2 linked regions of the Oryzias latipes genome follow. The protein of the gene in region 2 purifies or fractionates together with the protein of the main gene of each other region. This does not show direct contact. Links are inferred from orthologs where the notes say so. Each region holds a gene or a part of one and is shown on either strand. Other genes may lie near its edges. The genes, in order: cops6 and btbd1.

What was found.
Region 1: the proteins of btbd1 (region 2) and cops6 purify together in Homo sapiens (affinity purification with mass spectrometry; 3 studies listed by BioGRID and IntAct, counting the BioPlex papers as one, with this or other methods). This does not show direct contact. The link is inferred for Oryzias latipes from reciprocal best matches to the Homo sapiens genes BTBD1 and COPS6.

The regions. Positions count from the first base shown.
Region 1 is NC_019868.2:6,642,068-6,654,179, forward strand, and holds the start of cops6 (COP9 signalosome complex subunit 6), read right to left. Parts: upstream 5,712-12,112; 5' UTR 5,673-5,711; coding exon 5,630-5,672; intron 4,253-5,629; coding exon 4,127-4,252; intron 3,722-4,126; coding exon 3,590-3,721; intron 3,111-3,589; coding exon 3,022-3,110; intron 2,885-3,021; coding exon 2,822-2,884; intron 2,743-2,821; coding exon 2,695-2,742; intron 2,617-2,694; coding exon 2,502-2,616; intron 706-2,501; coding exon 613-705; intron 455-612; coding exon 354-454; intron 1-353. Other genes in the region: fbxl12 (F-box/LRR-repeat protein 12), read left to right, coding at 5,979-6,079, 6,248-6,323, 6,719-7,765; aurkb (aurora kinase B), read left to right, coding at 9,565-9,570, 9,989-10,027, 11,091-11,172, 11,874-11,919, 12,003-12,112. UniProt on the Homo sapiens protein: Component of the COP9 signalosome complex (CSN), a complex involved in various cellular and developmental processes.
Region 2 is NC_019861.2:13,870,910-13,883,136, reverse strand, and holds btbd1 (BTB/POZ domain-containing protein 1), read left to right. Parts: upstream 1-6,027; 5' UTR 6,028-6,179; coding exon 6,180-6,592; intron 6,593-6,943; coding exon 6,944-7,100; intron 7,101-8,781; coding exon 8,782-8,887; intron 8,888-8,979; coding exon 8,980-9,177; intron 9,178-9,323; coding exon 9,324-9,516; intron 9,517-9,614; coding exon 9,615-9,702; intron 9,703-10,447; coding exon 10,448-10,594; intron 10,595-10,695; coding exon 10,696-10,854; 3' UTR 10,855-11,550; downstream 11,551-12,227. Other genes in the region: zrsr2 (U2 small nuclear ribonucleoprotein auxiliary factor 35 kDa subunit-related protein 2), read right to left, coding at 1-12, 219-262; tm6sf1 (transmembrane 6 superfamily member 1), read right to left, coding at 1,464-1,655, 3,044-3,163, 3,249-3,341, 3,426-3,530, 3,837-3,955, 4,192-4,274, 4,354-4,457, 4,546-4,643 and 2 more.

The sequences.
Region 1 (12,112 bases), on a different chromosome or scaffold from region 2:
GTCAAGGGGTTAATTCTTAAAAGGAAAAAAGGTCAACTCTAATATTTATAATTTATGAGACCGAGATAAAATACTTGATTGGTTGTGAAAGGGAAGCATCTGAGCTTATGGACTAGAAAATACGTTTCTGTGGGATTCATGATCCTGAAAGTGCAGGAGATCCAGCATGTGGATCTCCTTCTAAAGAATGGTTAAGAAAATAAAAGCCTGTATCTAAAAAGGTCATAAAGAAGCAGCATTGCATCACAAACAAGAAAGCATTCTACCTTTTAGCAAAGACAGTTTAAACCTCAACAAACAAAACTTCTAAGGTAAATCTCAGTGGAATTCCTTTTTTTTTAACATGTTCTTACATCATAGAAGTCCGTTTTAAATTTGATGGTGCTGAGGACCGGCAGTCTGTGGCACAGGGCGTTTGCTTCTCGAAGGATCTCGTGGTTAAATGGCACCTCTCCTGTAACACAGCGGAGAGGTCATGTGACTGCCGCTGATGCTGCCGTCAAATGGCGGCTTGTTATTAGACAGGCGTGTTGGAACATCTCACTAAAGAACACCTGCTGCTCTTCACGCTCTTTGCCTTTAGCGCCCGCCTCATAAATAAAGCAGACTCACCTGCTTCCACGGCTTTCACGTACTCTAGAATGATCTTCACTCGGCTGTGGAGCATCTTGATTGCACTATGCTGAGCTATGAGGTGTTCAGCCACTGAGGAGGAGGAAGGACAAGTGTTAGTGTTAATGACCTGAAAGCACTTCCACAGGTCTGTCAGGGTCCATTTTCAGCAGCTTGCTACAGATGTGCATTCACCCAATTCATTTATTTCACAAAAGAAAAAGAAGCTAAACAAAATGACATTTAAAAGAATACAAAAAGAAAAAAATAGATTTTATTTGGAAGAAAATAAATCATTTTCCTCATTACAAGAAAGAAAGATCCACATCAAATATTTCCCTCTATCCTGGATCCCAGCAGTGACAGAAATGCTGCTTTGCATCTTATTATAAAAAGAGGAGGCTATGGCTCCAAACTGTCAGGTTGGATAGCTCCAATATTGCTCTTTGGGTTGGGGGTGTGAGGGGCTGCAAACTAGTGGGAGAGAGAGTGTAAACAGATGAGTGATGGGAGGTGAGGGCGGGTGCCATAACTCAGAGGCAAATTTCAAATGAACTGCAGCCGCCCTGCAGGAGAACGATAGAGGTTTTTGGTTGAAAACGCCACAATCATAATTAAGAGACCACAGGGAAAGCTTTGAAAATAGATCAGAAGATGATGGGAGGGGAGTTTCAAAAACAGCTTTGCACTTTGTGACATGTGCAGTGCAACGAAAGAACTTCCTGTTACGTAAACCCACAGGCTTCCATATTGGTCAAAGCTTCTACGGGTCTGTCCAAATCGGAGGGCTGCATCCTTCGTCGAGCGGGTGGGCCAGATGTGAACGGCTGAGAATTTGGACGAGTCTAGCCTTCAGATGATTCCAGCTGTTACATCGGCAAATAATCCAGTCTGAGATTTTAATGACGGTGTATGAAGATTATAAGACCATCAAAAAAGTAACACTGCTGCATCAGCAAAAGAAAGAGTTTCTGCTTGTAGTAGAAGAACATTGTGACAGGCGTTTGAATTGAACAGGCGTTTTCATTTTCATTGTGAAGCATATCTATCTATCTATCTATCTATCTATCTATCTATCTATCTATAACTTATCCAACTTAAATGAATTCAATTGGTAACAAGTAATTGAGTTAAATTTATTCAACCTAATTTCTTACGTCTATAAAACTCAATAATCGTTTATACAACTCAAATTGACATATTTAACTAACTAAATGTCATTTTACTCCAATTCAATTCAAGTTTTTTCATCTTAAATTATTGCACTTCTTGAACTCTCATATGTCTAAATTTGAGCCTGCAGATATTCTCATTTTTATAACAATAAAAATGAATGAAACAAAACAACAGAGAGCGGTAGTGAACGAGAAATTTCTTTTAAAATTGGGAAAAAGACGGCCGTGTTCGTTGGCCGCATTTGAAGGAGTCGTGTTTGGACAGCACTTGTCGCGGCGCTGTGACGTAAGAGGCCTTCAAACGCAGCCTTCCAATTTGGACACAGCCTCCGTCCTTCTGTGTCATTCTCTTTGTAAACAGGTGTTTCCTTTTAAAGTCGGAAGTGAAACTAAATTTCTATTTCCATTTTATCATCTTGTCTTTTGACATGTTTATCATTATAACCTTTTTTATTTTTAATTCAAATAAAGAGACAAAGTGCTTCAAAGAAGCTGGGCCGTGCCACGAGACTTTCCTCAGTGTCCAGTGTCCCAGTGTGCAGTAGCATCTATTGAGTAAATAACGAGAACATGCAGAGCAGTTTGGAACTTTGTGAGCACAGTCAATCAGACAAAAAGAGACCGGTGTGTCTCCATGACTGCTCATGAACCGGACTGTGCCATGACAAACATGAATGGAGTTGTGCGTCTGCTGCAGCCCCAACCCCCCCTCACCGGTCGAGTTCTCTCCGGTCCCGGTGGCCGTCATCCGAGCTACGTGGTCGACGCCGATTCTCTCTGCCTCCTCTGTGGCTAAAGTGTACGTCAGCTCAGCGAATAACATGGTGGCCTTAGCGAAGAAAGACGACGTTTCAATGAGGAGCCACAAAAAAACATAGTCAGAGCTGCGAAGAGGCGGAGACAATACCTCGCCACTGATGATGTCAATCACAGATTCATAAACGCTAACAGGAAGCTGTGGAGGAGCGGGACAAGCAGGTTAGAAAAGCTCTTCACACGCACACACGCCCCTCCATGACTGAAGAACAACTCACGTCGGTGTGTTTGGTCATCGGGTTGAGCTTGAGAAAGAGCGGGCTCTCAATGATCTCACACACCTGTCACAGAACAGACAAACGTTTAAAGAAGCATTGGTGAGAGAAGGTTCGACCCAAAAGTGGATCATTTCCAGCTCAGCATCACTAAGTCTGAACATTTTGCTGCAGTCGAGCATGAAGCGCCGGCGTTTCTGTACCTGTTTGTGGATGTGGATGTCAGACTGGTCAGGGGGCCCCCCTGTGGTGTACCAGCCCAGGAACTCCATGTCTTTGAAGACCTGTTTAACTGAAACAGCAGAATTCAACAATTTATTTGCCAAAAATCAAAAGAAAACAAAAAACAGACTTTTACAAATGTAAATGGTGATTAGATTACTTTATGTACTTTATGTGGAGAAAAAGAACAATCGGACATTTGTTTTGTAGTTCAGAATTAGGACTCACTCACATCTAAGAGACAAAGAAGGTTCTAGCTGTTTACAAAAGAATTAAGCCAATTTTTGACCCCAAAAAGTAAATAATTTGCTTTAGAAAAAATTAAAATCAAATATTAAAAAACATAAAAATGAAGTTTTATTTTGAGATTAACCGTTTGGAATGACATAACCTTCAATTTAATTCAGTTTATTTCAAAACTCACAACTGAATCTTTGACTATTTATTCTTTTAAATCCAGCAGGACTGTTTTAGCCTCATTCAGTCCACATTTTAGGACTGCTGGTCCAGAGTTTCAATAAAGAACACGGATTGAGAAACCCAGCTTACACTGCTCCTCCTTGGTGTAGTAGTACTCCTTATCGATGTGCACTTTGTCGTCTATGGTGTGAGACATTAGTTCAAAGGAGTTCATCACTTCTATGTTTCGACCCTCTTGTTTCCCGATCAGAGCGCCGATCACTAAACAAGGAAAACCCACGATCAACCAAAACAACACAAACATGCCTGAAAAACACACGTTCAAGAGCTCCGCTGCTTCAAGTAAGAATACTGCATTCATAGTGACATTACTGGATAAGATGATGAATTTTAGTCATGTTCTGAGTTCCTAGTTAACACTAAAAGATGTCTCTGTTTGAAAAAAAAAGTACAAATCAATCAAAACCACTGATTGTATGTGAGAATTGGAGTGCGTTAGTGTGACATCACCCATAGAAAATGGCTTATTTCTGGCTCCAAGCACATGAAATCAATTCATTTGCCTTTTTTTTTTGTGAAACAGACATGACCATGTTGGAGCCAGAAGACATCAGTAAACGTGATTGGTCAACGCGTGGAGCTACAGTTTAGCTTCATCACAGATACCCTGCATGGGTCGGCCCTCCTGAGAGCGGATGCGGATCCAGTGGTCAGATATGTTGAGGATGACCAGAGGGTGTAAGGCCACAGAAACACTCCCAGTGACCCCCGAGGCCATGACACTGGGGGTGGCTGCAGACACACAAACAGCAACAACTTCAACAAAACAGGAAATACAAGACACAAGGAACACAACGTAGATTTTTCACAATAAGATATAGTATGACATATCAAATAATTGGCTGTCGTGTTGATGAGACATTTACAAATAAAAAATAATCCTAAAACAATTCAAGAGAGGATAACACCTGCCTAAACATATTCATACAGGCCTGAAGATTGATCTTTAAACCTAAGCTGTTTACCTTTTAGTTTTATCTGTCATTTTTGTAGTTAATCAATTGATAAAGGAAAAAATTCATCGGATGTATGACAATGTCCAACACATCAGCAGCTGCTCATGTTTTATTTTACACAAAGATGCTCATCTTAAGCAGGTTGAGCACTTTTTCATCCTGTAGATGTCACAGACTGAATAAAATGGCTTCGGTCTGATGTATCTGAGGTTGCAGGGGTCTGCAACCTGAGGCTCCAGAGCCACATGCGGCTATAAAGACATTCAAAAAAATTGAACAAATACTTAATTAGTTTAACTAAGCAAATATTCTTATAGTCTACTGTCAAGTTGTTGCTTTGAGTCAAAGTTCTTAAAATATATAATTGCATTTACATGTATAGATTTTTATTTTTATTTGGATTTTAAACCAATGCACACATCTTTATGTTGATAGTAAAAGGATGAATGCTCACCTAAAATTAAATCTGTTGAAGCAGGAGGATCTTTTGACTTAGGGTGCATTTTATTTTGAAAGGAACGTGTATGTGCTGCTGTCTGAAGTAAAGAAGTTAAACTTGCTCTTTTTTAGTAAAATATAACACCTTTGTGATTCTATTATTGTCGACATGTAAAAGAAAGCTACCTGTTACAATAATGAATAAAAAGCCACTGAAGTAAACAAACAAAAAGTGTATTTTTCTAAATGTTTAGGCCAGACTTTGTGGCTCTCGTTGGGTTTTGATCTGTAAGAATCTGGACCAAGTGGCTCGTTTCCCGTTAAAGGTCTCAGCCCCCTACTCTAGATGAATGAATACAGTAGCATTTGGGAAACTATCAAGTTGTTTTCCTTCTTTAAACAGCGCTCGGTTAATCTGGATTTAGATTATATAGCATTTTAAGGATGGGTACATTGTTAAGTGACTGTATTTATAAACTCAGCTGCGCATTACTGAGTTAGATCAGAGAAAGCGACAGTAAATCCAGAATGATTCATCACTGACTGACCGTTAACCTGCTTATCATGTTAGCAAAGCTTTTGTAGCCAGAAGCTTTAGCGCCGCCAAATCTTTCCGGCTCACAAACCAGCAGAGACACAAAACACGCGGGGCCCTTGGTGCGCGCGTACATGTTAACGTCGGGCTCCAACGGTCTGATTTAAGACAAACACTTGCCTGCCCCGTCTACCTCCATTCCTCCACCATTGCTGGTCGCCATCTTGTCCGGTAGACTGCGCGTGCGCAGTGGACTGTTGACCTAGCGAACGATAGGTGGCAACATCACATATTTTCTGAACATTTATCAATAAGGCGCGCGGCAGAGCTGATGTCATAAACATTTTTAAAATTTAAATAACTACTTAGACGTAGACTGAGTATGTTCAGAGAAACCCAGGCCCGTTGCTTTGAACTGTTAAATGAACTGAACTGTTGCTAACCAGAAGCTGTTTCCTGGGGATTACTGATTAGAGCGCAACCCGTGTGCATCCGGAAATTAGTCCGTGTGGAAGGTTTTGTTTACAGAATGGATGAATTCAAAGGCTGCGATTTGGATTACTTCCCCGAAAACATCTTGATAGACGTGTTGTCGTTTTTGAGCGTCAGAGAGCTTGTTCGAGCTGGAAGGTATGAAAATGTGGCCCTGCTGAATGTGTTGGATTTTTGGTTCCCTGTTCTTTCTATACAATGCAGCAGCATGCACAGACAGACAGAGCCAGCTGGATGATCTCCCTTTGTTGTTGTTGTTGAGACTTCTGTCTGGCGAGTTTCTAATGGTTTCCACATTTTCTCCAGGGTTTGTAAGAGATGGAAACGGCTGGTTAAAGACCAAAGACTGTGGAGAACAGTAGATCTGACTGCTTGGAAAGGGGTAGGACTGTGGTTTCAGTTCCTGAATATTAAGTATTAATATTAATTCTTCTGTAATCGAATGGACACAGTAATAAACATGGATAAAAAATATGTGATGTTTGAAACAACCGTGCTAAGGCTTTCTTTTGTTAGTTTATGTCCAATTTTTTTAAACCTTCACTAAAAACAGTGACAAAGGTGCACTTTTTTTCTTGTATTATTATTTCTACTATAATTGGACACGTTATTTAAAATGTTGTTAATTGTCCTTTGTTAGGAAAGTAAGTCCCAAAAAAAAAATAGGCCTCCTTTTAGGTTTCTGATGTGCATGTGTTTGAGCTTATATCTCATTATTTATTTAATCAGTTTTCTCCTCGTTATTGTCACATGGTCTCTTCTTTTTTCTTACATCAGGTGACATCTCGCATCCTTTGGGTCTTGCTGCGTCAGTACTTTGGTTGTGGACTGAGGTGCCTTCGCCTGCGTGGCTTGCTGCTTTCTGCCCGGGGTGGAACCTTTCTCTCAGAGTCCTGGCTCAAAGCTTTGTCCACTAAATGCCCTCGCTTGAGTAAGCTATGCCTTCTACATGCAGACTTGAGAACCTTACCCAACTGCCACCTCTTGCCTCCTTCTCTACGTGTGCTGGAGCTCCGTGGTTGTGAGCTCCCTCAGGGCTTTTTTTGTCAGGCCAAGAGTTCCTCACCTGCTTTTCCTCAGGACAGAGCAGTGGCTACTTCCAGCGCTGGTGGTTCACAGCAAGGAAAAAATCCAAAAGTCAAAGGGCAGGCCTCGCCTTTAGGCATTAGTATTGAGAGTCTAGTTCTTAACAATGTGCCCTCTTTCACAGATCAGCACCTGCAGAGTCTGACATCATGGGAGAGGCTTTGTCGTTTAGAACTTCGCGACACATTTCGTATAACAGCAAATGGGCTTAGAAGCTGTGCAGCAAAAGATGGCCTTTCAGGTATGGAGGGCCTGTCCAAGCTCAAGTTTTTGGAGTTAGGTATTACAGCAAGGCAAGGCTACCAGTTGCAGATGGCCTCCCTTGGGCTGGGCGCGGGATGGCTTGGATTAGAGGAGCTGAGTCTCGGTGGTAAAGAGGTAGGGCCGGGTTTGCTCTGTGCCAGCCGCTTGAAAGATTTGAAGCGCCTGTGCTTGTGGGCCTGCACGCTCGGTGAGCTGCAGATCGTGCGCAGCTGCAGGATGCTCCGCGGACTCCGCCAGCTCCAGTTTGAAGATGTTGTCTTCCAGCCTCGGCAGAGTCCACCGGCAGAAGAGGAGGAAAGGAGCAACGAAGAACAGCAAGATGGAGAGGAACATTCAGAGATGGATAACAACGATGACAACAAGACACAAGACACGAATGATCCTTTTCCAAGCCTTAGGCGCTCATTGGCCGTCATGCTGCCTTCTTGTAGTCTGGTTTTTACCAACTGCTCTGTTCAAATAAACGCAGACTGATAGAGGTCTCAACTAATGCTCTGTTCTGACAACAAGTCCATGTAAATCTTTGGGAGACTGTTGTAGTTTAGTACAAACAGCAATCGGCACCCAATAATCTGAAAATCATCATGGTTAAAGCCCCACTGTCTGTGTGAATTGAATAAAATGGAATTCCACTTTGATGTTGGTGAGTTCACAAAGGCGCATCGAAGGGGGGAGTGCACCCCCCTGTCCATCCAAAAAGAGGGCAAAAAAAAAAAGATTTACTTACAGGTTAAATGGAGTTCATTGTGTAAAGCTCTTTTAAGCCTTATCCAAATTAGAAATAATTATTTCATATTTTTTGGAACTCTGGGTAAAAAAACATGTAAATAAGTGTTGCATTTTTTAAAATAGATGTTTAAATAGATTCTTTCCGAATTGACGTTCTCCAATTAACCAAAATTAAGGCTTCATGGTGTGTTGTGATAAAAGATGAAAGCTAACTTTTAAACTCATCAAGGTGAATTACACTGAGATTGTTCACTGACACAGGATTAGGCTAATTCATCACACTGATGGAAACATCAAAAACCTTTTGTCACCCCTTTTTGAAAAATGTGCCTCTTAGACTGACAGTTATTAAGAAGAGGTGTTGAATCATGAATGTTTTGAAGGTTTAAACAGAGTTTACTGTCACAAAAAGATGTATCATTCTATCTTTAAGCAGTTTCTTTTTTCAGGTGAATCAATGGGTTCTTTTTTTCAAAAAGAAGAAATACTGATAAGTGAGTCATTTCAAGGTGCATCCTTAGGTCGTGTTACAAACGTAGAAAGCAGAACTGTCACTGCTTGACTATCTGACATGCATGTGTTGGTTGCAAAGCCAAAAAACTAAAGCGAGCTGAAAAAGCAACAATGCACCTGTTTCCTGTTACTCAACTGCTTTTTACCAGGTTTTTACATTCACAAATCATACAATTCACTCACATGTAGCAGGTTGTGGTGATGCAAATGCACTGTGTACTGCTAAAACAAGTCTCTCTCAAGTTGCAATGTTTTTTTTTGTTTTTGTTTTTTACATTTGTGATAATAAATTTGAATGTGAACATAAATTTGACAGGTCTTCCTTCATTGCTATGCATTGTGCTGCATTTAAAGGTTAATCTTGTAGCAAAGAGATTCTTTAAAAACAATCAATAAAACTTTTTTCTTTTTACTTTAACCCTTCCACTAAGTATAAATGTATAACATTTATACACACATCTATATGCAGACGGCAAAATGGTTCTAAATATTTTCCAAGAAAAGGTTTCCCCCCCCCCCTATTTTGCAACAATTCAATCAAGTAAAACTAAAACCAGGCTACCTTTACTATTTGAATTAATTGTCAGTACTATCATTTTTGAATTTTACTGTTTTTTTTAACAATTGAACACAGCTAAAGCCGTTGTAAATAACATGTGGACAGACAAAAAGGTTCGTACGTTAGAGTATTCCATTAACTGCTGCTGCTGCATTGCAAATTTGTATCATGAGTAATAGACGAACATGATATATAATTATGATACTAATAATTAAAAAATGTTCCCACTGGTGCGCCTGTCCCAATGTGTCCATCCACACACTTCCGCTATAATCTGACCAATAGGAGCCCTTGATGCTCCCCCTGTTCTCGACCAATCGCTGTAAAAGGACCAATAGGAGTCCTCGACGCTCCGCCTATCGACCAATGATTTTGTCCCAACCAGGATTTTGAAACGTTGGCGGCCTAGGAAGTTAACAACGAGAGGAATAGTCTCCACCTTTCGTTGTCAATAGGAATATATTTCTTCGAAATGCAGGTAATGTATTGATGTTTTTTATTAAAGTGATATTTACACCTGTCACAGCAGAGTTAGCTGGTGAACGTCTGTTTACGCCGCACTGTTCTTCAAATGAAAAAGTCGACGAAGACCTTAGCTAACGTTAAGCTAGCGTTAGCTTTAGATGTAAGAAGAAAAAATAAGGCTGGGGTTAGTGGCAGAACATAGCCAAATAAAACATTTCCTTTAGAACTGTAAAATGTGCTTTTTGCTTATGTAAAGCATATTACGTCAAGTTTGCTAAAATGTGAAACTTATTTTCTGATCAATAGACCTCGTAACGTTTTCCAGTTACTATTGTCAGGTGCACTGACACTCACTGAGCAGCAGTGGGTATTATTATTGAATATCTGTGCTGTAATGCTAATGTATTTACCCTCAAATCACTTATTTGCAGAACAAGGAGAATCATGAACCCAAGGGCCCTCATAGACCGGTAAGTGATTAATAAAATAATAATAAAAAAGTAATCTATTGATGTTACTGCAGTGCATCTCGCTGGTTATTTTCTGAAGTTGTCACACTGAATTACTGGATAACTTTGTAAAAAAGAAAAAGTGCTCCTTGTAGTTACATCACCATAGTTGTACCTGAGTGGATTCCATTTAACCAGTACTTCTACTCTGCTACTATTGGCTGTATTTATTTAGTTGTTTCTTAATGCTGTTTATTTTAATATAGGGTTGCAGGCTAATAGAGAGATGATTGGCTTTGTCTAAACAAACACAAGGAACACATCAGATACTGTAACATACTGTTGACCAAAGCAGGAGTGATGTATGAAAAAAAAACACTCATTTTTTAAATGTGAGTGAAGGTTCTCATTTCTTACTGTGACGTCCGGGAGTTGTCATTTTGTTTCTTCAAGATGCCAGGACCCAACCTTAAAACTCATTTTAAACATTTAAAAATTCAATTACCTAAAATAAGGAAGGAGCTGGTTAAGCAGAAAACAAGCTTTTTCAAACAGCAGTTTTTCATTTGCTGCTGAATCAGATAAAATAAATTCTTAGAAGTGCAGCTTTAATAATAAATTATTTTATATATGTCCTTCATTATGAGAAAATTGCTACAAGAACATGTTAAAAGCATTAAAAACATGATTTTCATTGCAGCGGGTACTTCCAACATCTCGTTGCAAGATCAGGCACATGAACCGATCTATCCTCTTATCAGCTATTAGATAAAACGGCTTATAGACGGTGGTCACTTTATTCTGTTATTGAAGTACTATAGTACCGGTACTGTTTATTATCTGTTAATACCTGTAGTTGTTTTTTAATTATCTTGTTTTCTGAGCCACAGTAACAAGTCAATTTCCTGTCATGGGATCAATATCTCCAAAGCTGCTCTTACTTTCATACAATGTTTGTATACTCTACCCACCTATTTTATTTTTTAATCATGCGTAATTGGATTGACTATACAACAAAGTAGCCTAAAATGGATTATAACATTTTGAAGAAGTTGAATTTTGTGTTTGTTGTTGTCTTTTTCAGTTTGCAACCCCGAGCATGGTGACTGGACCTCAGCGTGTTTTGGCAAAGCCCCGAGCTGAACTGAATAAAAGCACAGTCACAGGTGATTTATCTGTTCATACAAGCATGATTTTTGTAGAAAAGTATCGTGAATGTTGAGTTTTTGTTTGGAAAGGCACAGGGTTTATGGCATAGAGATGCAGTGGTTTACAATTTCATTGAGCATTGTAACCCAGGCAAAAGAAGCAGACTCTTAAATACAAATAAAATCGGTAAATTTTTGTGGTTTGGGCAGGCAGAAAAATCGGAAAACATTTGTAACACAGTGGATAGTGATGTGGCTGAACTCTCGCGAAAGTACCATGAATAAACTGGACAGTTTGAGGCCAGAAATGCTTTACACTTTTTTTTTTTAAGTCTGGAATATACCATCCTCATTTTACTTTATGTTAACATAAACGAGCCTCTCGTTGTACTTCAAATTAATTCTAACTAAATAAATAAATCCACTTTGAACATGTTTTCAAACTTGCCGAACTTGGCAGACAGACAAAAAAAAATCCTCCTAAACTGTGGATTGGTCAGAGACCTTACAAGTTGCCACTTTAATGGTGCTTTATTTTTAATTTTATTTCTAAATCTCTAATTTCTGAATTGAATGGCAACACTAGTTCAGTATTTCAAAAAAAAAAAAAAAAATTCAACTAAAAACCTCTTTTTACTAATCATTATCTCGTCTTTCTCATTGAAATGGGAAATAAGTGTGTTCTACTTGTATCAACTTAAAGTTTTGTCTTCATTAAGGTCCAGGCAGAGAATGTGTTGGCACCTCATCTGTTTCTCCGCCTAAGTAAGAATCTTTAAATGCTAATGGTACAAAATAAGCACTGGAGTCTTGGGTTTCTTTGGTAACAGAAAGATTGTCATTTTTAGGAAGATTTCCATTGACGACTTCGACATTGGCCGGCCTCTTGGAAAGGGCAAGTTTGGCAATGTCTACCTTGCGAGGGTAAAGAAGCTGCAAGCCATTGTGGCGCTGAAGG
Region 2 (12,227 bases):
CGTTGCTTCTGACTGTAGCGAAGAATACAAAAGCCTTTCAGAAACGCATTGCAGTACATTTTCAATACAACACGAAAGATGACGACAAGTCTGAATGAATGAATAACTTATCCTCTTAGCCAACAACTTTAGTTGTGTTGATTACAATCAACGAGTGAAAATACTACTATATACTAATAAAATGATGTATATTCGTAAAATCGCCAGATGTTACTAACCTTAAAATTGGAGCAGAAATTGGACCAGGAATGGAGGCTGCCATCTCAACGAGCGATAGCTAGTATGCTAACTATTGAGCTCATTTGAAGTTTACACACCGGTCAATTTTATTATATTTTTTGGCTAAACTCTTTTATCCAGTATGTCTTTGTTTATTTTGCAGAGTGAGACAGATACGGGTTTCAGAAGAAATCAGTAGTTTGTTTAAAATAGAACGGAAAAAAAAGAGTTAGCTAAATAAAGAGCTTCTATGCTGAAAACAGGAAGTCGAAGGGAAGTACTTCCGTTTTTGAAGTGTCTTCTTCTTCTTTGGTTCCTAACAATGGTGTGAATGAATCACAGCAACACACTTTTTTTCAAAGACTTTCAAGTGATTCTTTAAATCATAATTTCAGTATTGTAATTACACACACATATTCCCAGTGGATAATTTAAATAAATAGACATGTCTCATTTTAATTGACAAAATTAACACATAAAGAGAATAGAAGTCTGAGGGGAATGAAAAATATGGTTGAATAAAGAGTAGACTATTATTAACGTGTCTTATTTACAAGAAAACTTTATTTTTATATTAACTTTGGGGATGCAGTGGCTCAGGTGGTTAAGCAGGTGAGCCAAAGTTTGAAGGGTTGGCAGTTTGATCCCCGCTCACCCCAGCCAAGTGTCGCTGTGTCTTTGGGCAAGACACCTCCTCTCTGCCTCCAGCGTGGCCCCACTGGTGTGTGAATGCATGTACATTTCCTGGTGATGGCCAGAGGCGCGTACTGGCAGCCTCTTAGTTTTTAGTTAGCTTTTAGCTGATCTAATTTTGTCTTTTATTGTTTTAATTTGTTTTTATTGTCTTTTACTATGTTAAGTCTGTGATACGTGTCAGATGTTGTAGTTAATTGGGGGGGGGGGGGGGGTTGTGAAGCAATTTGTGATTCTTTTTTGTGAAAGTTGCTATAGAAATAAATATTTACTTACTTTACTCATGTATTCTTACCATCTTTCATTGGATATTAATAAGCAGATTGACACAGATACGATTTTATCTTTATGTATCAGAAAGACAAAGCAAAAAATTACAATTCAAACAAAAAAAAGCCTAAACAAATGTGTTTTAGCTTATTTACTTCCTAAAGACCCAATATGGGAAGCATAAAAACAATTTTATTTTTATTTTTTCCAGCCCCTCTTACACAGTTGAGCCAAACTTTTGTAAGGCATCTTTGATATTATTAGCCCCCCTGTTTTTCTATTTAATCTTCTTTCTTTTCTGCTGTCGGCCTGAGGAAGAACTCTGGCTGGGTGCAACACCGGTAGCAAAGAGCTTGAGGCACCAGAGTGTACAATAAATTGACCAGCAGGAAAACAAGCTGGCTGCTAACAGGCACTCTGTATGAGAACGGAGTCCGAGTGTGAAGAGATGCACCAATGTAAGAAAACTGGGCCTGAAAAAGAACAAAGAAAATCAGACAATAATCAACGAACACAATATTGTCTTGAACTGAAATCACTGTTAAGAAATGTCTTTAAACAAAATGTCATTATGATGTGTGGCGATTTCTTCTTAACAAAAAATATTTAAAAAATATTGTAAGAAAAGGGATGCAAGGGTTTTTGCATCAATTTAACGCAAACCCCTCAAAGTAAGCACAATCTCTGCCTGAGTTAGACTGTGATTAAAATAATCAATTACAAATTGATCCATTCTTCACAACGTGCTTTGTTTTGCTGCGTATTATAGAAAAATAAAAAAGTATATTCGTTGTTATCATGACAAAACAAATTTGATATCTTGTGATACCGACATCTACTATCTCATTGTCACGAGAAAAAACTTGTTTTCTTGTGATATCTACTGTCTGGTTAATTTTCCCGTGATAAAATGAGATGAAGATGTCGCTATCACAAAAGAAAAACAGGCAAAAAAAGCAAGGTTGGCCGTTCGCGACTTCCCTACTAAAAATATTATTAACCTTTTTTTTTTATTGCATTTTTTTGCTTAATTGCTTTTATTGTTTCATTGTTATTGTCTCTTTCATTATATTTTATTTTTTAGTAATTTTAGTGATATTTGACTTTATGTTCAGCAATTTGATTACTTCTGCTTTTATAAGTGTTCTACAAACAAACTGACTGACTGACTGATTGATTGATTGATTAATTGATTGATTGACACTCTTAAAAAATGATAACTCTTGGGAAGTTTGATTATACTAAAATTCACTATTTTTAGGAACATCATTTTATGGAAGGCATTAGTTTATCATTTTAAGTTACTTGTTTTAAAGGGTGCATTGAAGGTGGAAATATTAGGAGTTCATGCATGTTTTTCAAATCTGTTTCACAAAAAAACTGCCTTATTTCCTGTCCGTTACTGCTGCCAGAGCCTCAGCTGTTCTCTCTATAGTTAGGCCGAACAGCTGACATTCAAATGAATGCCACCATTCCTCATAGTCCCAAGTTAGCTTCTGTCATTAGTCCTACTGATGAGTGACATGCCAGCCTGCAGCCAAACACAATAGCTGCTTTGTGTAGTTGAAGCTAGGATTGGCTCTTTCACTGTTCCCTCTCCTGCCAGTGTTCAGGTCTTCCATTTTTAGTCATAACTAGATGTCTGGAGTCTTCTGGGACACTTTACATCAACACATGCACAACCATGAAGTGGCAAGGCAGATGAAAGAGAGCCCCTTTCCGTTTCTAGAGAATAGGAAGCTTGTGAAAAGAAGAATGGCTGTTCTTAAGCATCATCTAATGGGACATTCTGTAGATAAACAATGACCAATTCTGTTATCTACTTCATTTGTTTAAAGTAGTCAAACACAGAAACACGTACCTGTGCCAGTGCTCCTGAGTGTACAAGAGACAGGTCTGGCATCCACTCACATCCAGGGACTAACAGCCCATATAAAGCTATTATATAGTATGGTCCAGAATACAGCATGCTCACCAGCATCTGACAAAAAAAAGTGGGTTAAAAGCTTCAAATGACAGAGTTGAGATACTTTTCTTTTTTTGTATGAAAAATATCAATTAGTTACCTGAACTTTGGGATAGGCAGAGGGATCTTTAAGGTAAGGTTCATACTGTTGTGTGTAGTCGTGACACCATTTGCAAGACCAGTCAAGAGCAATCTTGAACACAGAGTTTTTATTTTATTTTAAACGAAATAGATCTGCAAATGTCTGAATGAATGTTGATCGTCTTAAGCTCCTTACCAGGCCTCTGAAGACACAGAACATAAACGCAAGAAGAAGGCAGATGATAAACACCAAATCCAGGGGTCTGTGTAGCAAGTTTTTCCTCACAGTATTTAGAATATCCTGAAAAATGGCAAAAGCAACAATATTTACAACATATCTTCTTTCATTAAACAGTCTTTCAGCAACTGTGAGGCAGTTATAAAAAGAAATAAACATCTGCAGGGAAAAACTAAACGGTCTTGGTGTATTTCATATATAACTTTTATTAATTGTAGCTGTATTCACTTGCATATTGAAGTTATGGGTTTGATTAATATAACAAAGTGTTGATGAGGGCTATTCATTTATTATTTCCTTGATTGAAAAAAAGCCCCAAATATCTGTTCCTTTACATGTAAGTTGCTCAGTACATAGGAGTTTACATACTGTCGACTGAGTATCTCGTGCGGAGGGTTGACTGAAGACGCGGAAGCAAGCCCACACTGACACAAAGATATAAAGAATTTGGGGAATGAAGAAAAACCCAACTTGGGTCCCATATTTACCTAGAAGAAACACAGAAATAACTTCAATTAACTGGGGATGAAAGGTGTGTATGAATGTGTCAACGTTTTTCTTTATATGAAACATTATTTCTCTCTCTCAGCTCTAGGGTTCACTTTAATTTTTCTTTTTAAGTATGCAATGTCATCGTTTTCTAAGATAAAGTAAATGCTGAGAGACAAGTTGGACAACCTATTCAAGCTGTGTATAAGCATCCCATTATTTTTAGTGCACTTACCCACAGCATTTCCAAGAATGTAGACTATGGTCTGCATGAGAAAAGAGCCAACCCAGTACAGTCCAATTACTCTGTAACTATCCCTGTGAAGATCACATATACACTGCAGTTATCCAGATGAGCACATTATGGTTCAAACATACAAGCTGGTGCATCTCATACCCCCAAGTTATAGCAGCAATCATGAGCAGATACATGAGATAATGAGCTGAGCCATCCCAATAGGAGACCACGTGACCGTGTGCTGTGTTAATATGTGGGTCTGCCTGAAACAGGGGAGTGAATCCATCAGAGAAATATGTGAGGGTGTGTGTATGTGGAGAGGGGTAACAGGCTGCCAGCGCAAACACTTGCCTCTTTGAGGTAAAAAGTTACAAATCCATCAATGATGTTGTCTTGCTCCAATGCAATGATCAGATTCACCACGCTGAGGAAGGCGTACACTGCATACACTGCACAGACGCAAGGTTATCACTTCATTTCAGTGGGTGAAAAACTGCTGCGAACACTTTACAGCTATCTGCTCAAATGTAAGTTTATTATAAATATGCAAATGTAAACATTTTACATTCAAATAAAAAAGTGATTGTATGTGAGAAATCATATATACAGTAGAATAGAGGGTCCTCTGGTGCCTTCTTCTTTAGCATGAAACGGGCTGAAATCAACAGGGAGGGGACTGATGTGCACCCAGCAAAGAAGAAAGCTTCAGCACTGAATGCAATGAAAAACAAAATAATAATAATAATAATAATAATAATAATAATAATAATAATAATAATAATAATAATAATAATAATAATAATAATAATAATGATGATGATGATGATGATGATGATAATAATAATAATAATAATAATAATAATAATAATAATAATAATAATAATAATAATAATAATAATAATAATAATAATAATAATAATAATAATAATAATGCAATATTTCTATTTCTGCTGGTTGGGAAACTTGTATGGTGATAAAGTCAAGAGGTTACATTAGGGGTTAAAAAACAATAAAAACATGTTGTCACTCACCTGCTGTTTGAAAGAAGAGAGTTGAATAAATAGCAAATAGGAATGGATGTTAAGGACAAAACAAATACTCCGGTCCCTAAAGACGCGCTCATTGCTGCTTGGAGGTTTTTTTTTTGTTTTGTTTTGTATGTATATATAATTATTACACAATAACTGATGCTTTAAAGCTTTTCAGATGCAGGAACCATCTCATTCCAGTTTCTAAGAAGTCATGGATTATCTAGGAAAGCAAATAACTGCGAACTAGCGCTTCTGCTGCTCCAACCTGCACGCGCGCTGTCATCCCCGCTTCAGTCCTCTTCTAACTCACGCATTTACGCTTGATCTGTGCGTCAAAGCGCATGCCCGAATATCGAGCTGTTTCAATTCCTATTCCAACTTGAAATTCCTTTAAAAGTAAAAAGTTTATTTTTTTCAGATTTGTCCGGAAAATATTAATAAATTCAGTTCCTTTGTTAAAGGTCCATGAAAAATTAAATTGGAAAAAAACTTTTCACAAAGTGGTCTAGAAATTAACATACACAAACATCTTATTCAAACTAACCCCATATGTATTATTGTAAAGAGAATTACTATCATTTTATAAACAGTTGGGTGTAAAATATGAGATTAAAATAGGATAGCTACCGTTGACTTTATAGGAGAAGTTATCCTTAAATTTAAAATTTAAGATAAAAAACTTTTAAGAAAAACAATGTCACTTTTACAGCCAATGATGCCTACAAACAACTAAAATAAAAGAATAAAATCACCGGGGCGTGTAGAGGGCAGGCTTTTTAGAGGAAGTGCGTTACGTCATTTCCGGGGCTAACAAGCATTTACTCTGGTGGGTTTAAGGCCTTCGCCGGGATGGATACCACGTAAATAAAGAACAACGCTTTCTTTTTGGAGACCGCGTTGAACACCGTAACGCGTTGTTTTCCTTGAAACGGAATATTCACACAGTCGTTGTTTATGATGGCGACTGGGAGCGGAGGCGGTATGGCGTCAAATCATGAAGCTGCGTCCAACTCTATTCAGTGTGCAGCCGCAGTCGCGCTGTCCAGCAACAACATGCCAGCCTCTGCTCCGGTCCCGTCCTCCTCCCCGCCTGGCCCCGGCCTCCACCGAGGACCGATGTACAACTGGCAGGCGACGAAGAGTTCCCTGAAGGAGCGCTTTGCCTTCCTCTTCAACAACGAGCTGCTCAGCGACGTCAGGTTCATCGTGGGCAAAGGCAGGCAGGCCCAGCGGATACCGGCCCATAAGTTCGTCCTGGCCGCTGGCAGTGCCGTCTTTGACGCTATGTTCAACGGCGGGATGGCCACGACTTCAGCTGAAATTGAACTCCCCGACGTGGAGCCAGCAGCCTTCCTCGCCCTGCTCAGGTAGACGGGACCCCTTAAGATGTGAAGATGCTCATTTAGATTCCAGCCATGATAGAACATGTGACATGTTGGAATCCGTGGTTGGCATCCTCCACTTTCACATTTATGCTGTTGTTTCTACACTTAAATGTTTTTATTATTAGAATAATAACAATAAATCACATGTAGTTGCCGTGCATCACAACAAAAGTAAAAAATGGGCTGCAGAAGCTCACATAATTGTAATCTGTGAAAGCTAGGAATGAAAAAGTTGAGACTACAACCATGACATTAATGCTGGAAGATAATTAAAAAGTTTAGGTTACAGTGCAGCATACATGGATCACCTTCACTGTTCCTTTCTTTGATCAGATTCCTGTATTCTGATGAAGTCCATATCGGTCCAGAAACTGTGATGACAACTCTATATACTGCAAAGAAGTACGCTGTCCCTGCGTTGGAGAGTCGCTGTGTGGAGTTCCTCACCAAACATCTAAGAGCTGACAATGCATTCATGCTTCTGACTCAGGTAAGGAAGTGCCAGCCGCCTCAGCTGGAAGTCACTGACCTGAAAGCTGCTTTTCTTCTCAACTCTGGAACGTTACGCTTTCCTTAAATGTAACCTTACGTTTATAAAAGTGCTTCAATGTAGCTGGCTGTTAAATGTAGTTTCTTGAAAGTTACACATAATGTCAAGATCTTAAAAACAGTAGTAAGAATTTAGTTTTTCTGACTCCAATGGTTCCAGTCTTGGATGAAGCCATTTTTTCTTGTAAAACACGAGTCAGACCATCTCCCATCTATCCGTGCTCAAAACAGGATTTTTCTCTCAGCTGATCTATTTTTGGTTAACGCTGCCTGCTGCTCTCTATCTGCCGCATAGACTCATCTTAGTGAACTGATGCTTGATGAGAAACTCGTCTTTGCTGCAGCATTTTGGCATTTTCTGTGTCACTACTTGCCCAAAAATAGTGAAGTAAAATATTTCTGAGACGAAAATATATTTTTGCCTCATTCCTACATTTGATTATTTTTGTAGTTTAGGCTTTTTACCCAAAATGAATGTAGAAAATCAACACAAAAGAGCTGCAGGAATATTTCAGAGTTTTTAAAATAGGATTTCAGAAATCCAACCTAAGAATATGAAAAGAGTATGATGGAAAATACAGGAAAGGGGCATTGGAGCAGAGTGACTGGACTTGGACTACTGAGCACAGGTTCTGGTTCTGAGAGGTGCAAACTACAACGTCTGGCAATAAAGTGACTACATTTAGAAAGACAGGCAAGAAAACATATATTTCTATTTGGAACAATACAAGTCTCTTCAACTCTGTTTGAGCAGTTACCTGATAAAGCAGTACGTGGTCATAGAAAATGAGACATGCCATTCCATTCTGGAGGATCTGTGAATTTTAACAGCAGAGGCTGAGGAAACCAGTCAGGGTCTCAAATGGAGGCAACAGATAACCATGATCTCAAGCTGCAGCTGGGTGGCATACTGCTTTTTAAATGTTGGACCAAGCAAATCCCCAAGATAAGAAGAAGGAGGCTTTTTGGTTAATTCAATCTTTAATATTCCCAGTGGTCTTTATGGCATTTTTAGCCAGAATCAAAAAACCTGTTTAGTTTTTTTTTAGAACATGGTTTCTGCAGAGCAGCAGGAGTTCATTAGAAAATTCGCCTCTGAGTTGTGGGGCCCAATTTCCCGTCATCCATGTGTTTACGGTCTCTCTTCCCAGCTGACAGCCCCTTACAACTCCAGCATAACATTACTGGTGCAGCAAAAGTCCAGTTTTGAGCCAGATTCCAGCTCAGACGAGGAAAACAAAGACGTACATGGATCTATTTGTCTGCAAGTGGATGCATCAGAATGGAGCGGAGCCATTTGTAGTACCTATGTCACCGCTGCAAGCTTTTTCCAACAGCATTTCTTCATCTCCTCCTGATTCATAATGATTTGAATAAAGAAATAATCAGAAATGCAACTTATATCCTTTTATCATCAGAAAAAGGACATGTTCAAATCACCAAAAACATGATTTTAATTGGAGTTGGTTAAAACAGCGGGTTGATGGTGATAGTTTCAGTTCAACAAATTTGGTCTTTTTAGATGCAGAAGGATGTCCTCAAATGGTTTTTAATTTAGATTTTCTATTGTCATTTTTGCCTTTTTAAAATGTGTGCTTTTTTAAATTTATTTTTTTTTAAAGGCAAGGTTGTTTGATGAGCCTCAACTCGCCAGTCTCTGCTTGGACACCATAGACAAAAGCACTGGTGATGCAATTAACGCTGAGGGCTTTACAGACATTGATCTGGGTAAGCGTGTCTCTGCCCCTCTAATTAGTAAAAGTTTTCTCTTCTTAGATCCTTTTTTCACATGTATTAATTGATTCTTTTGGTGTGCGAAGACACCTTATGTGCAGTGTTAGAGAGAGACACACTGAGCATCAGGGAGAACCGTCTGTTTGAAGCTGTGGTGCGCTGGGCAGAGGCAGAGTGTTACAGGCAACAGCTTCCCCTGACATCAGAGAACAAGCAGAGGGTTCTGGGGAAAGCCCTCCCTCTCATCCGCTTCCCACTCATGACTGTGGAAGAGTTTGCTGCTGGTAAGTGCATAGCTGTCCTCTGTTCATCAGGTTTTCGTTTGTTTTCCAGCATTTTTTCTGACCTCATCAGCCATTCATCATGTTCTTCATGTGTCCATACAACTCAATCCACAGAAACCAGTTTGATATTCTTTTTTGTGCAACAGGGCCTGCCCAATCTGGAATATTGTTCGATCGGGAGGTGGTAAATCTGTTTTTACACTTTACAGTAAACCCCAAACCACGGGTCGACTACATTGACAGGCCTCGCTGCTGCCTCAGGGGGGAAGAGTGCAGCATTAATAGGTTCCAGCAGGTTGAGAGTCGATGGGGGTACAGCGGCACCAGTGACAGAATCAGGTGAGACCAGAAGCTCCACTTTTGGGTCATAAAATAAAAAAACTGAAATAAATCACGTTTTTCTAATTCTATTTATTTCTTGTGTTATCTCTTTGTAGATTCAATGTAAACAGAAGAATCTGTATAGTTGGTTTTGGCTTATATGGTTCTATACATGGACCCACTGACTATCAGGTCAACATACAGGTAACGCATAGCCTTAAGGCATCTTATTGCATTTGTACGTTTTTGATGGAAAGATCTAGTGAAGACACTTAGCGGCGCCGAATGTGTTTTTTATTAAGCAGAATAGTTGAAACATCATAAAGACAAACTCAATGTTAGGATTTAACACAAACCCAAACTCATTTCATTGTGTTCCTCTGTGATTTATGGTATAATCAATCAATCAATCAATCCCATCAACAAAACAATTCAAATTCACTCATTGAAGCGTGTTTTAGATGCAGAAAAGAACTGCATATTGTGAACATAAAAAGTATGTGTGGAAATATAAAAACAAATACAGGTTTTTGAGAACATCATCTAAAAAGAAAACACTTAATTATAAATATGACATTAGTTTAAGTGTTGTCCATTATGTCAACTATATGAAGCGTTTGTTTGTTTTTCTATCATGAATATCTAAGTTTAACATTGTTTTTTTGCTATATTGAGTTTTGCCAAGAACATACAGTCAGAAGGAAATTCTCCTCCTTGTACTTACAGTTTTTAGCATTTTGCCACAAAACTCACACAACCACACATATATTAGTTGGATTCATTTTAGAAACTTTTAGCAATTTAAAGTTTAACTGGCAATTTAAAAGAATATATATTTTCTGATCTAATCAAACAACAAAAAACCTGATAAAGTATAAAAACTGCTTAATCTTTTGAATTTGATGTTACAAATGCCCTGTTTGTTTATGGAGTATTTCTTGTGTTTCAGATCCTAGAAAGTGACAAACGCATTACTCTGGGACAAAACGACACAGGCTTCAGCTGTGACGGCACAGCAAACACCTTCCGGGTGATGTTTAAAGAGCCGGTGGAAATCCTTCCCAGTGTCAACTACACTGCATGTGCGACCTTGAAGGTCGGTCCAAAGCTGCCGCATGTGGAAGCTGACAACTATAAACTAATGCTGTCTTTTGTTCCTTTTCTAATTTAAAGTCTGCTTCTAATTTTGCACTTCAGGGTCCAGACTCACATTATGGCACGAAAGGGTTGAAGAAAGTTACTCAGGAGTCCGCTACAGGGGCCAAGACAACATTTTTCTTTTTTAGCTCACCTGGAAACAACAATGGTACGTCAGTGGAGGACGGGCAGATACCAGAGATCATTTACTACACATGAACCCAAGTGGTCTGGCTGAGATGGACTTTGTGCCTGAAAATCTTGTACATTTAAATGTGTGTATATTTGATGGCAAAAAAAAAAACCACAGGTGTAGATACATAATCTGGAATGTAGGAGGGCTCGTGGGAAAAATCACAGCTTTAAGGGCATGAAAGTTACTTTTATTTGAAAGTTAGCTGAAAAATGTGTCTTGTCATTGTTATTTCAGTGTCCCACAGCAGTCCACACTGCCCAAATTATCCTGCACGTACAGGTACAACCTGTCATTTTGTCTGTTTGAGCTGCTACCTTTACTTTAAAACACAATTTTATTGTGAACTGTGATCATTTATTTTACAGTTTTCTTCAGCTGTTTCGTGTCTACGTTGTGTAAAACATTCATGACTGTTGTGACATTAAACTGGCACAAAATGTTAACAGTCAATCAAATGTATGTCAAAGACTGTTGCTTCAACTTTCTCAAAGGTTTGGGCTTTTTTTTTTGTCAAAAACACCTGAAAGCCAAAAAGGAAAAGTTGTGATTCCTCTTTTCTGTCACTAAGTGGTGCAAATGTGCAAATAATCAGAAGAACTACAAGGGGAAAAAATTAAGCATGTCAAAAAAAAGAAAAAGAACGGCTGGATATTTTAGGGGTTTCCTGATTATATTTTTTTGCGATAAAAGTCAAAGTTTACATGTAACACTCGAGGCAATCGAGAACAGGAAAAGAAATAAAACTTACATTTACAAAAGATTAGGGTTCTGCAGAAAAATATATGGAACTTAATGCATCAATTACGACCTCACCTACACTAGTTCCCCAGTAAATTCTGGCCCGTCTCCAAACGTTTTTCTGTTTTGTAATTTGAAAGTATGACTGATTTACTGAAACCTGCATGTTAAAAATGAATGCCCTCAAACTGCTCATCATATAAGGCAGGTAATGCAAACCAGGCCTTTTCAGACAGCTGTGAGTGGGCTTTGATAGAGTGATCCATGAAGGCTGTCAGGTGAGTCACCAGGACCTGAAAGCTTCTCTTGCTGACTGCCCACTTAGCTTTTTTTATTTTTTTTAAATAGAAACAAGAGAATCAAGTTGACGCTAGATTTTTATCCACCCACTGTAAAAACGCTGCTGAACTTATTGTCACCATTTCACCAAATGTTTCAAGTTGCCAGTTTTGATTCAGAAAATGATTTTACTGTGTTTTTAGTGGACATCAAGCCACCAATGTGCAGAAACATGCACAGATTGGTCCTTTAAGTTGCTAAATTGTAAACACATACTCTGATTTGCATGATTGCGCGTGTCTCCGTATGTGGGAGGGTGTATGACAGCAGAATGAGCTGTCTACATCACTGTGAGCCTGTTAGTTGAACATAGTCAGCA